Linked DNA regions of Drosophila melanogaster. The protein of the gene in region 2 interacts with the protein of the main gene of each other region in a pairwise test. Each region holds a gene or a part of one and is shown on either strand. Other genes may lie near its edges. The genes, in order: Cdk5, Vlet and Fis1.

The links.
Region 1: the proteins of Vlet (region 2) and Cdk5 interact in a two-hybrid assay, tested with the Drosophila melanogaster proteins (one large-scale study listed by BioGRID).
Region 3: the proteins of Vlet (region 2) and Fis1 interact in a two-hybrid assay, tested with the Drosophila melanogaster proteins (one large-scale study listed by BioGRID).

Annotation. Positions count from the first base shown.
Region 1 is NT_033778.4:15,569,716-15,573,472, reverse strand, and holds the start of Cdk5 (Cyclin-dependent kinase 5), read left to right. Parts: upstream 1-2,055; 5' UTR 2,056-2,170; coding exon 2,171-2,338; intron 2,339-2,402; coding exon 2,403-2,590; intron 2,591-2,750; coding exon 2,751-3,115; intron 3,116-3,177; coding exon 3,178-3,341; 3' UTR 3,342-3,757. Other genes in the region: CG8204 (uncharacterized protein), read left to right, coding at 1-23, 82-284; CG30466 (uncharacterized protein), read right to left, coding at 547-660, 716-1,795. UniProt on the Drosophila melanogaster protein: Probably involved in the control of the cell cycle. Interacts with D1 and D3-type G1 cyclins. Possible regulator of neuronal differentiation and/or development.
Region 2 is NC_004354.4:11,676,864-11,680,620, reverse strand, and holds Vlet (valette), read left to right. Parts: upstream 1-2,069; 5' UTR 2,070-2,186; coding exon 2,187-2,218; exon of another isoform or gene 2,219-2,271; coding exon 2,272-2,956; 3' UTR 2,957-3,277; downstream 3,278-3,757. UniProt on the Drosophila melanogaster protein: Scaffold protein in the commander complex that is essential for endosomal recycling of transmembrane cargos; the commander complex is composed of the CCC subcomplex and the retriever subcomplex.
Region 3 is NT_033778.4:5,603,071-5,606,639, forward strand, and holds Fis1 (Fission, mitochondrial 1), read right to left. Parts: upstream 1,765-3,569; 5' UTR 1,685-1,764; coding exon 1,640-1,684; exon of another isoform or gene 1,581-1,639; coding exon 1,513-1,580; exon of another isoform or gene 1,447-1,512; coding exon 1,398-1,446; intron 1,342-1,397; coding exon 1,174-1,341; intron 943-1,173; coding exon 830-942; coding exon of another isoform or gene 826-829; exon of another isoform or gene 725-825; intron 692-724; coding exon 670-691; 3' UTR 517-669; downstream 1-516. UniProt on the Drosophila melanogaster protein: Involved in the fragmentation of the mitochondrial network and its perinuclear clustering. Functions downstream of Pink1 and upstream of Drp1 to regulate mitochondrial fission.

The DNA.
Region 1 (3,757 bases), on a different chromosome or scaffold from region 2:
CGCGGAGAAGCTCCAGCAACTAGGTAGGTGTTTAAATTCGCAATTATACACATTTCTCATAGTATGATGGTTTCCGTACAGAAAACTGCCAGGAACTGCGTAATTTGCTCCACAATCCACACCTGCGTTCGCTGCTCCAGCAGATTGATGTGGCCATCAATGCCCAGTCGGCCATGATGGCCGCCATGCAGGAGCCACTCTTCGTGGAGTTCGCTAATGCCTGCCTTCAAGTCGTCGAACCGATGACGGATGCTGAGCGCACTGAATTTGAGTTGTACTCCTGAATTAAGTTGACACACAGTCTCAATAAAACTAAGCCTTTATTTTGTAACTAATAGTACTGTCAATCCTTGGCAGCTTCTAGAGGAGCTTGCATTGAAGAACTCCTGGAAACTTCTCATTGAAATCCGCCGGTAAGGTTGAATCTTTTCCATAACCAGGGAAAACGTACAACTAATTATTTGGCTCGGCCATTTAAAGTTATCTATCTCAGCTGGCATATCAAACTAGTCATCAGTCTACAGCTTCGTTCCTTGGCAATCAAACTCAATCAAAGTAAATTGAAACTGGATCCGAGTTAAAAGTGATTTTTGGATGCTTCATGTGCAACTTGAAAAGCCTATGTTCCCCTTGCACTTTCCAGGTCATGGGGATGGGATCCTGTAATGAAAAATATTAGAAACGAAAGCTAATATAAGTTGTGAAATACTTAGACCTCATTAGACATGAGATACGTGTTTAGTTCCACATAAATATTAAGTGCTGTGGTACGGTTTTCTCCCAGTTTCTTCGCATCGAATGTGAACTCCTTAAATCCGAAGGTGCAATGGTATATACCCAGGACCTCGTGTGTGTTTAGGTTTTGTATTAAGGTATGAAACTTAATTTCGTCCACACAAACCGAATTTTGTATATAAAATTCATTGACATTAATGTGAAGATGCTGATACGCATGCATACCAAAATTAGCCACCTTTAGGGTCTTAATAGCCACATTTAAACCGTAAGTTTCACAAAATATGGATGTATTTTGGCTTATCTCGATCATATTTATAGTGCTTCTCTTCGCAGCTATGAGAATCTCTCTCAGAAATCCGTATCTAACGTGACCACAAAGAAATAGCTTCTTCAAGTGAGTTAGACGTTCCAGTTTCGATAGGAACCACACCATCATTTCCTCCTGGAAGCACTGCAGCTGCTCTAGGTTTCTAATCCCTTTCCAGGGCAGTTCTGTGTTCGAAATCTGGTCAATATCGAAGATACCCAGCTTCAGGGATTTTATTTTTCTGGTTTTCAGGATCTGTATCAAGTTGGTGACATTGAATTTGCTGCAGTAGGAGACCGTGAGGTTCTCGAGAAACTCGAATTCATCAAAGTGTTTGCCAGTAAACTTTCCATGGGGGCTAAAAGTTGTCAGATTTGGAAAAGTTTTCAACATTCTTGGCACGTCCGCATCGTTTAAGTTAAACGAATGCGTGGAAAATCGAAAATCTTTAAGTTTTGGAAAACTACAGCTGGTAAGTGTTTCGAAGTTAGATCTATTATTCATTTTGAGCCGCAGAGTGCTGAGGATTTGTTGAGTACTTTCCAGGAAGAATAGCAAATCCTTGTCGCTCAGCTGCATTTCAATCAAGGATATATATGCACATTTGTTATAAGCACGCCACACATACGGCATTAATTTCTTAAACCGGAAATGAAAGTCTTTCAGTTTTAGTTGGGTCTTCAAGTCGAGATAACTTAGAATTATCATTAGAACATCATCGGGCAGACATAGTAAGCCAGGCTTGGTATTCTGCAAAGGGCAAAAGAAATTAGGAAACTTGTATACTTATATTTCTGCTATATTGTTGCATTGCGGTACCATAAGATCGGTGTTTATCATTGTCGGTCTATATTCGTATGTTTAGCTAATATCGAGTCCAAATAAAACAATAAAATTATAACAAAAGTTTTATCAACATTTTTAAAATGATATCTGTTAATTTTGAGTATTTTTGGTGACAGCAGACTGTCAGCTGCGATGTTGGTTAGTCACCGCGTGCTGTAAGCGAATAACAGTGTGCTGTTAGGCGCACGAATCCCTGGCCAGCAAAAACAAACTGCAAAAACAATAATCCCCGGAGTTTTCCATCTGAACGCAAAATAATACACACCAAAACACAGCAAAATGCAGAAGTACGATAAAATGGAGAAGATCGGGGAGGGCACCTACGGCACGGTGTTCAAGGGTCGCAACCGCGACACCATGGAAATAGTGGCCCTGAAACGGGTGCGACTGGACGAGGACGACGAGGGTGTGCCCAGTTCTGCCCTCCGGGAGATCTGCCTGCTGAAGGTCAGTCGGACGAGCAGGAAGTGATTCCAGTTTATAAACTAAATCGGCACATTACCATCCGTAGGAGCTGAAGCACAAGAACATTGTGCGCCTCATAGACGTCCTGCACTCGGACAAGAAACTCACCCTGGTCTTCGAGCACTGCGACCAGGACCTCAAGAAGTACTTTGACAGCCTCAACGGGGAGATCGACATGGCCGTCTGCAGGAGCTTTATGCTCCAACTGCTCCGCGGACTGGCATTCTGCCACAGGTATACCTATATATGTATCAGCACTGGATTAGGTCTTATCTTGTGTCGATTATAGTTAGAATCAAGTGTTATTTGGAGTAACTTCATCTGTGGCACATTTCCGAATGATATCCATTTTATAGCATTGAGACTTAACTTACGCTACATTATCCTATTTTAGCCATAATGTCCTGCATCGCGATCTGAAACCACAGAACCTGCTGATCAACAAAAACGGCGAGCTAAAGCTAGCTGACTTTGGTCTCGCTAGAGCCTTTGGCATTCCCGTGAAGTGCTACTCCGCAGAAGTGGTGACCCTGTGGTACCGACCACCCGATGTCCTATTTGGAGCCAAGCTCTATACGACCAGCATAGACATGTGGTCCGCTGGATGCATTTTGGCCGAACTGGCGGACGCTGGACGACCGCTGTTTCCTGGCTCTGACGTGCTCGATCAGCTGATGAAGATCTTCCGTGTGCTGGGCACCCCCAACGAGGACTCCTGGCCAGGAGTTTCGCACCTCTCCGACTACGTGGCGCTTCCATGTAGGGATTCTAGACGGATTTTATTTATCGATACCAATATTAAAAGCCTATTTATATTATAGCTTTTCCGGCCATCACCTCGTGGAGTCAGCTGGTACCTAGGCTAAACTCCAAGGGACGCGACCTGCTGCAAAAGCTGCTCATCTGCCGGCCAAATCAGCGAATTAGCGCGGAGGCGGCGATGCAGCATCCCTACTTTACGGACAGCAGCTCTTCGGGACATTGAGGTCGGAAGGTTCTTTCCAAGCCACTGTTTTCACGACCTTTGATTAGACTTAAGCCAAAATGCGAGACTTTGTCCAGCAAAGATCTTTTAATTATATATGTATGTCCTTGCAGTAGAGTTCGATTATAGTATAAGATAAAAAGTTCTTTATAATTTCATTAGTTTGATTTACCAAAGCAAAAGGTTTGATTTATGACAATCCCTACCAATGTGACACTTAATATAGCCATTTGAGCTGCCAAATTAACATTTATCGATAAAATACTTATTGATTCAGTAAAATAGTTTTATTCTTAAAAATTTTTATGTTGAGTGTATCGTTAAGATCCGAAAATTGTTCAAATTCCTAGACGATATCTACTGTTTGTGTGAATGTGGAAAAAATATTTGAAATCCTAGTTTCTGTTTTCAAAGAC
Region 2 (3,757 bases):
TTGGCCAACCATGCAAATTATATCCAATTCAAGAAACTATCTCAAGATTCTCAGTTTACTCGACCAGTTTTCGAGATGAACCAATAAGTGAGGGTATAAATATATTCTAATAGACAAAAGTACTGTTTTTTCAATATATGTATATTACATGAGAAGGGGAGTAAATACTTTAATATACATTTAACAAAAAATAAGCTACGATAAACACAAGCTGAAAATGAAATATTTGTCATTGCAGCAATTATTTTCTGCTTATGTAGAAATTTTAATAACAAAGTCTAGATAAAAAATTGAATCATTTTTATAAAATCGCAGCCTGTAGAAATCTAAGTTAATAAATAATAATAATAGTTATGACTGTAAAACTCGCAGCTGTTAGCAGAAATTCTATTTCAACAAGTGTATGGTTCTATAATATATTTATAATTTAACATTTATCTTGGAAAATAAATAAGATGAATATCTTTTGAGTAGATAAAAGGTGATTTCGAATTCGTGGTGGCGATGGCATTTAGAGTTTTATTTTTCTTAATTGGATTAACTGCTGTTTTTACAGCCCGACAGCAAAACAAAACGTAAAACAAAGGTAAGAAGCGAAGAAACCCCAATATTTTTCCAGCATAAATATGCTAAACTGCCATAATGAGCGGAAAATGCGATAAAACCGAATATAGAGAGGAAAATAACGGAAAAGAAAAGCGGGGAAACTGAAACCAAACGATTCTTTTTATTGTTTGGCTAAAATTGATTGCATGGCTAGATTATTGCTGTTGGAATTGGAATTGTTTCTGTTTTTGCAGCTTTGCCTTTTGCATGCCGCGATAAAAAGTATTATTTTTAATTTCCCGTATCAGGCGTATGCATGTGTCTGTGTGTGTGTGTGTGTATGCATCACACGACTCCGCCGGAGAGAGTGTGAGTGTGTGCAAGGGTGGCTGAAAAGGGGAGAGCGATAAAAAGGGGCTGCAAAATGCAGACGAAGCATAAAATAAACAACCGACGACGCGCTATCGATTTTTACGGCATGCTGGAAGCACCAGCACACTGATACACACAGTTTGCAGAATAGGGAAATAAACTGGAAGTTATGCTATGCCAAATTGAGTTTTTTCAACAAAAATTCCTCGCAGAGAAACGCGAAACGAACTAGTGGAAGACTAAAGAGCCGGGTTTTGTTTATTTACACAGGAACAATACAATCGCACGCAGCCAAAGACACACATACGTATACCACATACACATGCATATATCCCGACGCACTGTTCCGTTAGTTTAGTTGGGGTTTTTGTTTTTCTCGGGCTTTCGCTGAAACCTTAGCTTGAAATCCTTACTTTTAAGATGCTGACTATTTTTTATAATCGGTGGTTGGTTTTGCTTCCAATTTTCCGATCCCGAGTTCCGTTTATCATCCGCTCCGCTGCGCCTGTTTACCCCGCTTTTACACTTTTCCGTTTCGCTGTAGCTCAACGAACTCGTCGCTCTCCTTGCTCCGCGCACTTGTCAAGCTTTCCCGACTGCAACTGCACTCGAACTCGGGGCGTGGGTGCACTCGCTGCGCCTTAAAAGTGCATCTTTCGCAGCCGAATCAGCGGAAAAATCTGCATTAAGTTAAGCCGCGTTTCCAATACACAAATACTGCTTATCGATTGTTGGCGCTATCGAGCGGAGCATCGATAGGCATCAGCGGAGTTGCCAGGTAGGACGATTATATTAATGAGTTGGAAAACTATTCGTACTTGATAATCTTCTACAAATTGAATCGTCGATCGTCGGTGCCGTCGACAATCTGGTATTGATATTTGCTGGTGCGGCTTTTTTTCACGAATTTTATTTTGCAGGAAACATAACAGCAAATATTATTTAAAACATTGTAATTTTATAAGGTAAATTATTCAGGCCTAAATACAGAAAAATAAATTAATTTAATAAAACATTTAAATCTAAAAAATTAATAAAGAATATGTTTAAAATCACATCGCAAAATGTAATATTTTTGTATTTTAGTCAGCACTTACCGTTATTATTGGCAGTAGTAACTGTGTGGCAGCACCGCACCGTGGCAAGTCGATAGTTTTTTGTATATTGTTGGTCTGTATAAACAAATAATATTAAAGTCATAATAAAAGAAGTGCTGGTAAAGACTTAATAACTCTATGTTCCTTAAAAATTTTTAAATATATCTCACAATGAGCATTAACTGGATAAAGATCACGGAAAGGTATGTAATATCAATGTTCTTATAGAGATTAATTTCTTGCATTTATATCTTAGAGCCCGTGAGGGCATCAAAATCATCAATGCCTTGCCCTACGAGACCTTTACGACGGTTCTGTTCTACACCCACCGGCAGATGAGTCCCAGCGTAGCATCGGCGAGTGCCACCAGTAGTACAGTGGGCACCAGTGTGACGACCACCGGCCGGGTGGACAGCAGCACCGAGGAGAACCCCACAAGTAACACCGAACCGGAGTACACACTCGAGGAACTGGAGCGATTGGTGGGCGTACCGCGTCAGGACTTCCTGCTGCTGATCAAGACCTTCTCCTACATCCTGCGTCGCATCTCCACGTTTATCATCAAGCCAAGTTTGCTGCAGCGTGAGCTGCGCGAGAAACTCCAGCTGGAGGATGAGGCCAAGATCGATGCCATATTGCGTTTGTGGGTGCGCGAAACGACGCCCATTATGAACAATTTGGCCAGCAAGCGGTACGAATCAAATGTCATCGAAGATGTGGCCTGGAAGCTCAACATGGAGATCTCCTCGCATTGCCAGCAGCGGGAGAAGACCCCGCTGGCCGTGCTCCAAATGAAAACGGCCGTCGGCGAGGATATCAACATCGAAATGACACAACCGGAACTAATGGAACTGTACAATCAGTTCGAGAGCATCCAGGGCGAACTGGACGCCATGCTGGCCATGAAGACTACAGGAGCAACGGCGCCTGGCAATCAGTAGTGGGACGCCATCGACCAATTCCAGTGCCAATTTTATTGTTGATTCACACAAAACTCTGTGCAAAAAGATGGACCTAAAAGTATGCAATACTAACACGATCGTAGCCAAATGTTAAACACGTTTTTTTTTGTTTAATTCAGTAGGGTTTTTCCTATGTTCTGGCTAATTTTCCGAACGTAGCCAAATTTTTACTAGAGTAAGAGTTCGGCTTTGATTTATAAAACGTTGCAATGATTAGGATCTTCCAAACAGGACTAGTTTTTAAGTTTTAGAACTTACCCTCTGCAAAATAATAAATCCTTTAATAAATTTAGATAAAACAATGTGTGGCACATTTTACAGTACACTTTAATGGATCTCTGCATGCGTTTTACTCGTCTGCTCCACCTCGGATCATAATTCTACTGATAAACATTACAAATTATTACAATGATATATATTTAATATATGTCTATATTGTATATGCATATGTTATTCATCGGCCTTAGTATGCGTGTGTGTGTGTATAATGGAGTCGTATATTATGTATGCATTATACAGACTTTCTAGTTTCATCTTCTCAAACTTTTGCATAATTATGCATATGTATTTATTGTTATTACGGGAGGGCGGGGATTTTGGGTTGCTTCGTATTCAAATTAGGGGCTTCGTTGTATTTTTCACTAATCTAGAAGCAAAACGATTTCTATTGCACTCTTTCACAGTTCGGTTAATCATTTCAACTAAGTTTGGACAAAATACAAATGTATGCAAATTATTTGGACTACAATTTTCATTAAAATGTATTGCTATTGTTACATT
Region 3 (3,569 bases), on a different chromosome or scaffold from region 2:
GAGCCGGATTGAAATGCGTGCTTTCTTGATATCCCCTATCAACGTCCAAAGTATTACCACTATTGAAATATAGCTAGTCTCCGAATTAAATTCAGTATAAAACTGCGCTCCACCCATAACCTTTATTCAAGGCTATCTGCTGTTCCTTGTGTTACGATTTTGATAAAGCCGTACGTACTCACAAAAATATGCGACATGAAGAAATAGTTATTTTAGATGGGAACACTTAGCTAATCCTACCTATCCTGAGTCTAAAAAAAAATATCCGAAATACAATTTCACTAGAAAGGAGTAGAGAGTAGTTTGGATTACTGGAGGTCAGTCTTCTGGACCCAGGGAGATCATATTATTTTGCACCCAGCCGGGGCGATGATTCGGTAGACTACGCCTTCGAAGTTCTTCTTTGTATGGACTAAAAACAACAGAAGTCCGATGATTTAAGCATTGTTGGAGTTTAATTCAGCGGAGTCGGCATAGCACTATACCTTAACATATGTAATTAACACACACGATCTACAAGCAACAATTGGATAATTTATTGATTTAACCGTACATAAAGATTAATTAGAATGTTGATGTAGTAAATTAACATATTTCAAGTATTAAACTTCATAACATCTTGATGTGCACCTTTCGATGTTTTATTTTCCTTAAATAGTGGTGACGTTACTATTTCTCCCGTTTTTGTTTACTAAAAAATAAACAATGTACACATAGCATTAATAATTAAGTCAATGTAGATTTAATTTAAATCATAAATATTTAATTTTCAACTGCTTGTTTTTAAAAGAACATTGTCGGTTAAAAACGTGTTGGTATAAAATATTACTTTCTAGCCATAGCAATGCCAAGTCCTAATATTCCGCCAAGTACTAAAGCTGCTCCGCCTGCAACCACCATACCCTTTGCCACTTCCTTATCGATTTCTTTTTTAATATATTCCTGAAATATGTAAAGTTATTTAGTAATTATTCGTACATTGAATTTTAGTGTATGTACATTAGTGAGGATCACATGAATATGTTTTTCATTATTATATATGTACATTTAACACGACACATCTTTTGTGATCATGGGATTTTGGTTGTCATAAAAATTTTCTGGATCAAAAAATTATTTGAATCTATTGGAGATTATATAGAAATTGCTGCTTTCCTTAGTGACCTTACTAACCTCTAGGGAGCGAACTTGATCATTTGACTCGATGTCAAGAAAAGCTCGGCAGTATTTTAAGCCAGACGTATACTCCTTGATACGAGCATTACCAAACGCAAGATAATATATATAGTCACGCCTTCCATCTGGATGCGTACGAGCCAGTTCCTCCAAAATCATAATTCCCTGGATTATAAATAAAATAATATTTTTACATCTTTACAGCTTTAAAAGTGAGTCACCTTTCTAACGTCATTTGTGTACCGACTTCGGACCAGACAGAATGCGTACCTATTGTGTCATTAGAATTGAGAAGAATTGAGATATTTTAATGTTTTTAGATTTAGGAATGCGTACTCAAACTTTGTGTCTGTGGTAACTTCACCATCCAACTCAAGTTCGTGATGATACTTTTTTTCGAATCTCTGGAGCAAATGCAAAATATTTATTTTATAACAATCAGAACTAAAATAATATTTTTTACTTCTAAATCTTCTTGTGGTACAACTTCGTTTAAAAGATCCTCCATTGTTTGGCAAATGTTGTTAGCAAATACAAAAATTATATACAGAGAATTTAACGCCAAGAGTAGCCGTTCATTCTAAAAATATAGGATTAGTCGTACCGTTTATATACAATTCTCAGAGAACGACTTCCTTCACATTTTTAGTGTTCCTTCTTATATTCGATTGCCACTGAGACTATTTAATAAGGGGTACTCCGTTAATAGCATGTGTTCTTAATTAAGCCAAATAAAATTCAGCTTTGGAGTTTCAAAAATTTTAGCGAATTCACGGAAGTATTTGATTTTAACTACTTTAGTTTGATTTTATAAAATTTTTGATGTTATAATTATTAATTGTGATCAGAGAAAAATGCATTTACAAAAAAATGTTAACTTCTTTGGCTCCTCAATACCGACTCGGTTATTGATCCTCAATAAAGTGTTAGGAAAAGTTTTGTGTTACCTGTTTTATTCATTTAACGGGTATAACAACGAATTGTTGATTTCTTTTTAATTCATTTCAATTGAACCTGATCCAGACTTTTCAACGAATCTACTTTAACATTTTACTCTTCGAGTAATGTGTGTAATTTAGTATTCAAATTCCTGTATTTTGTGAATAGATAAGGTGTAAGTCCGTTTTTTATGTATCTCGGTTCCATCAATTCAGAGTTTCTTAAAAAAGTTTGTTTATAAAAATAGTTGTTATGAAATAATATTTATCATGTTCTCGATGTGCGCTTTATAAAATATGAAGATAAATGCAATGAAGACACTGCTGGTCGGAATCTCTTATTAATATACCCCTAAAAGAGTTTAGAATGAAAAGCTTTTTTGAAAATAAATACCCATCATTAACTTTAATGGCCACTGAATTTCGTATTTCCTACCTACCTTCAAAAGATCGCTCGATTTTAGAGCTGGCCTCCTATAATTTGACAGCAATTTTGCTAACGCATCAGTATAATTACGATGAGGATCCGGTTCATTCTTTATTTGTTGAACGATGGGGCTCGCGTACGTGACGGCATTTCTTCGCGGGACGGTGCGGGGAGGCAAGAGATGGGTTGTGCTAGTCCCACGAAGTTGAACAGGCAATGATATTGCAGAATTACTGTTCGAAAATCAATGAATATGCTAGCGGTTCAATATATAGCTGACGCATGCAAAGAGCAAAATACAATCGAGTGATACACAAAAACCCAAGCTGGCCACCAGCTTGGTCCTCACCAAGGGCCAGTATAAAGTATCTTAATTTACACCCAAGAAAGTGTCGCGCAATTGCTTCTCGGCAGTTTTTGTTGACATGTCCCATGACGTGAACACAATTTTTATTTCTATTGCTTTTGACTTTTATGCACATGCCCACTCATAATCCTAGAGACATTTGTCATTGATGGTCCGGTCCGGCGAATCTATTGTTGTTGATTGTTGAGCCCGGCTCTATTCACACTTTCTTTCGAACCGAGTCGGCCAGACTAGACCGTCGTATTATTGTGATTTACTTGAGCCGCTTTATCGCCGTAATCACAACAAAGTTGTGCGACAAATACAGATATGGGGACCAACAATAAGAGCGAGAGTTGCGGATGGCAGGCAGCTGCTTGGCTCCTAACCAACTTGAAAGTGACTAATCGGAGCTTAATGTCATTCCGGGACCCTGACCGGAAGACGACGGTTCGCCGTCGATTCGTTAAGGGCAACTAATTGTTGCGACGTGTTTACACACACGCTGTGTCAGCACGGGGTTGTTTTTGCAGCGGGTGCTACCAAGAGACTGCTACCAGGCGGTTGCCCCGTTCGCCATAAATGATCCTGTAATTTTCGTTGGGCGCGTGCTCGCGATTGTTCTTTATGTGGGCACCCAAGCAGCAGGAGCATGACCAGGACAAAGACCATTGTTGTTCAC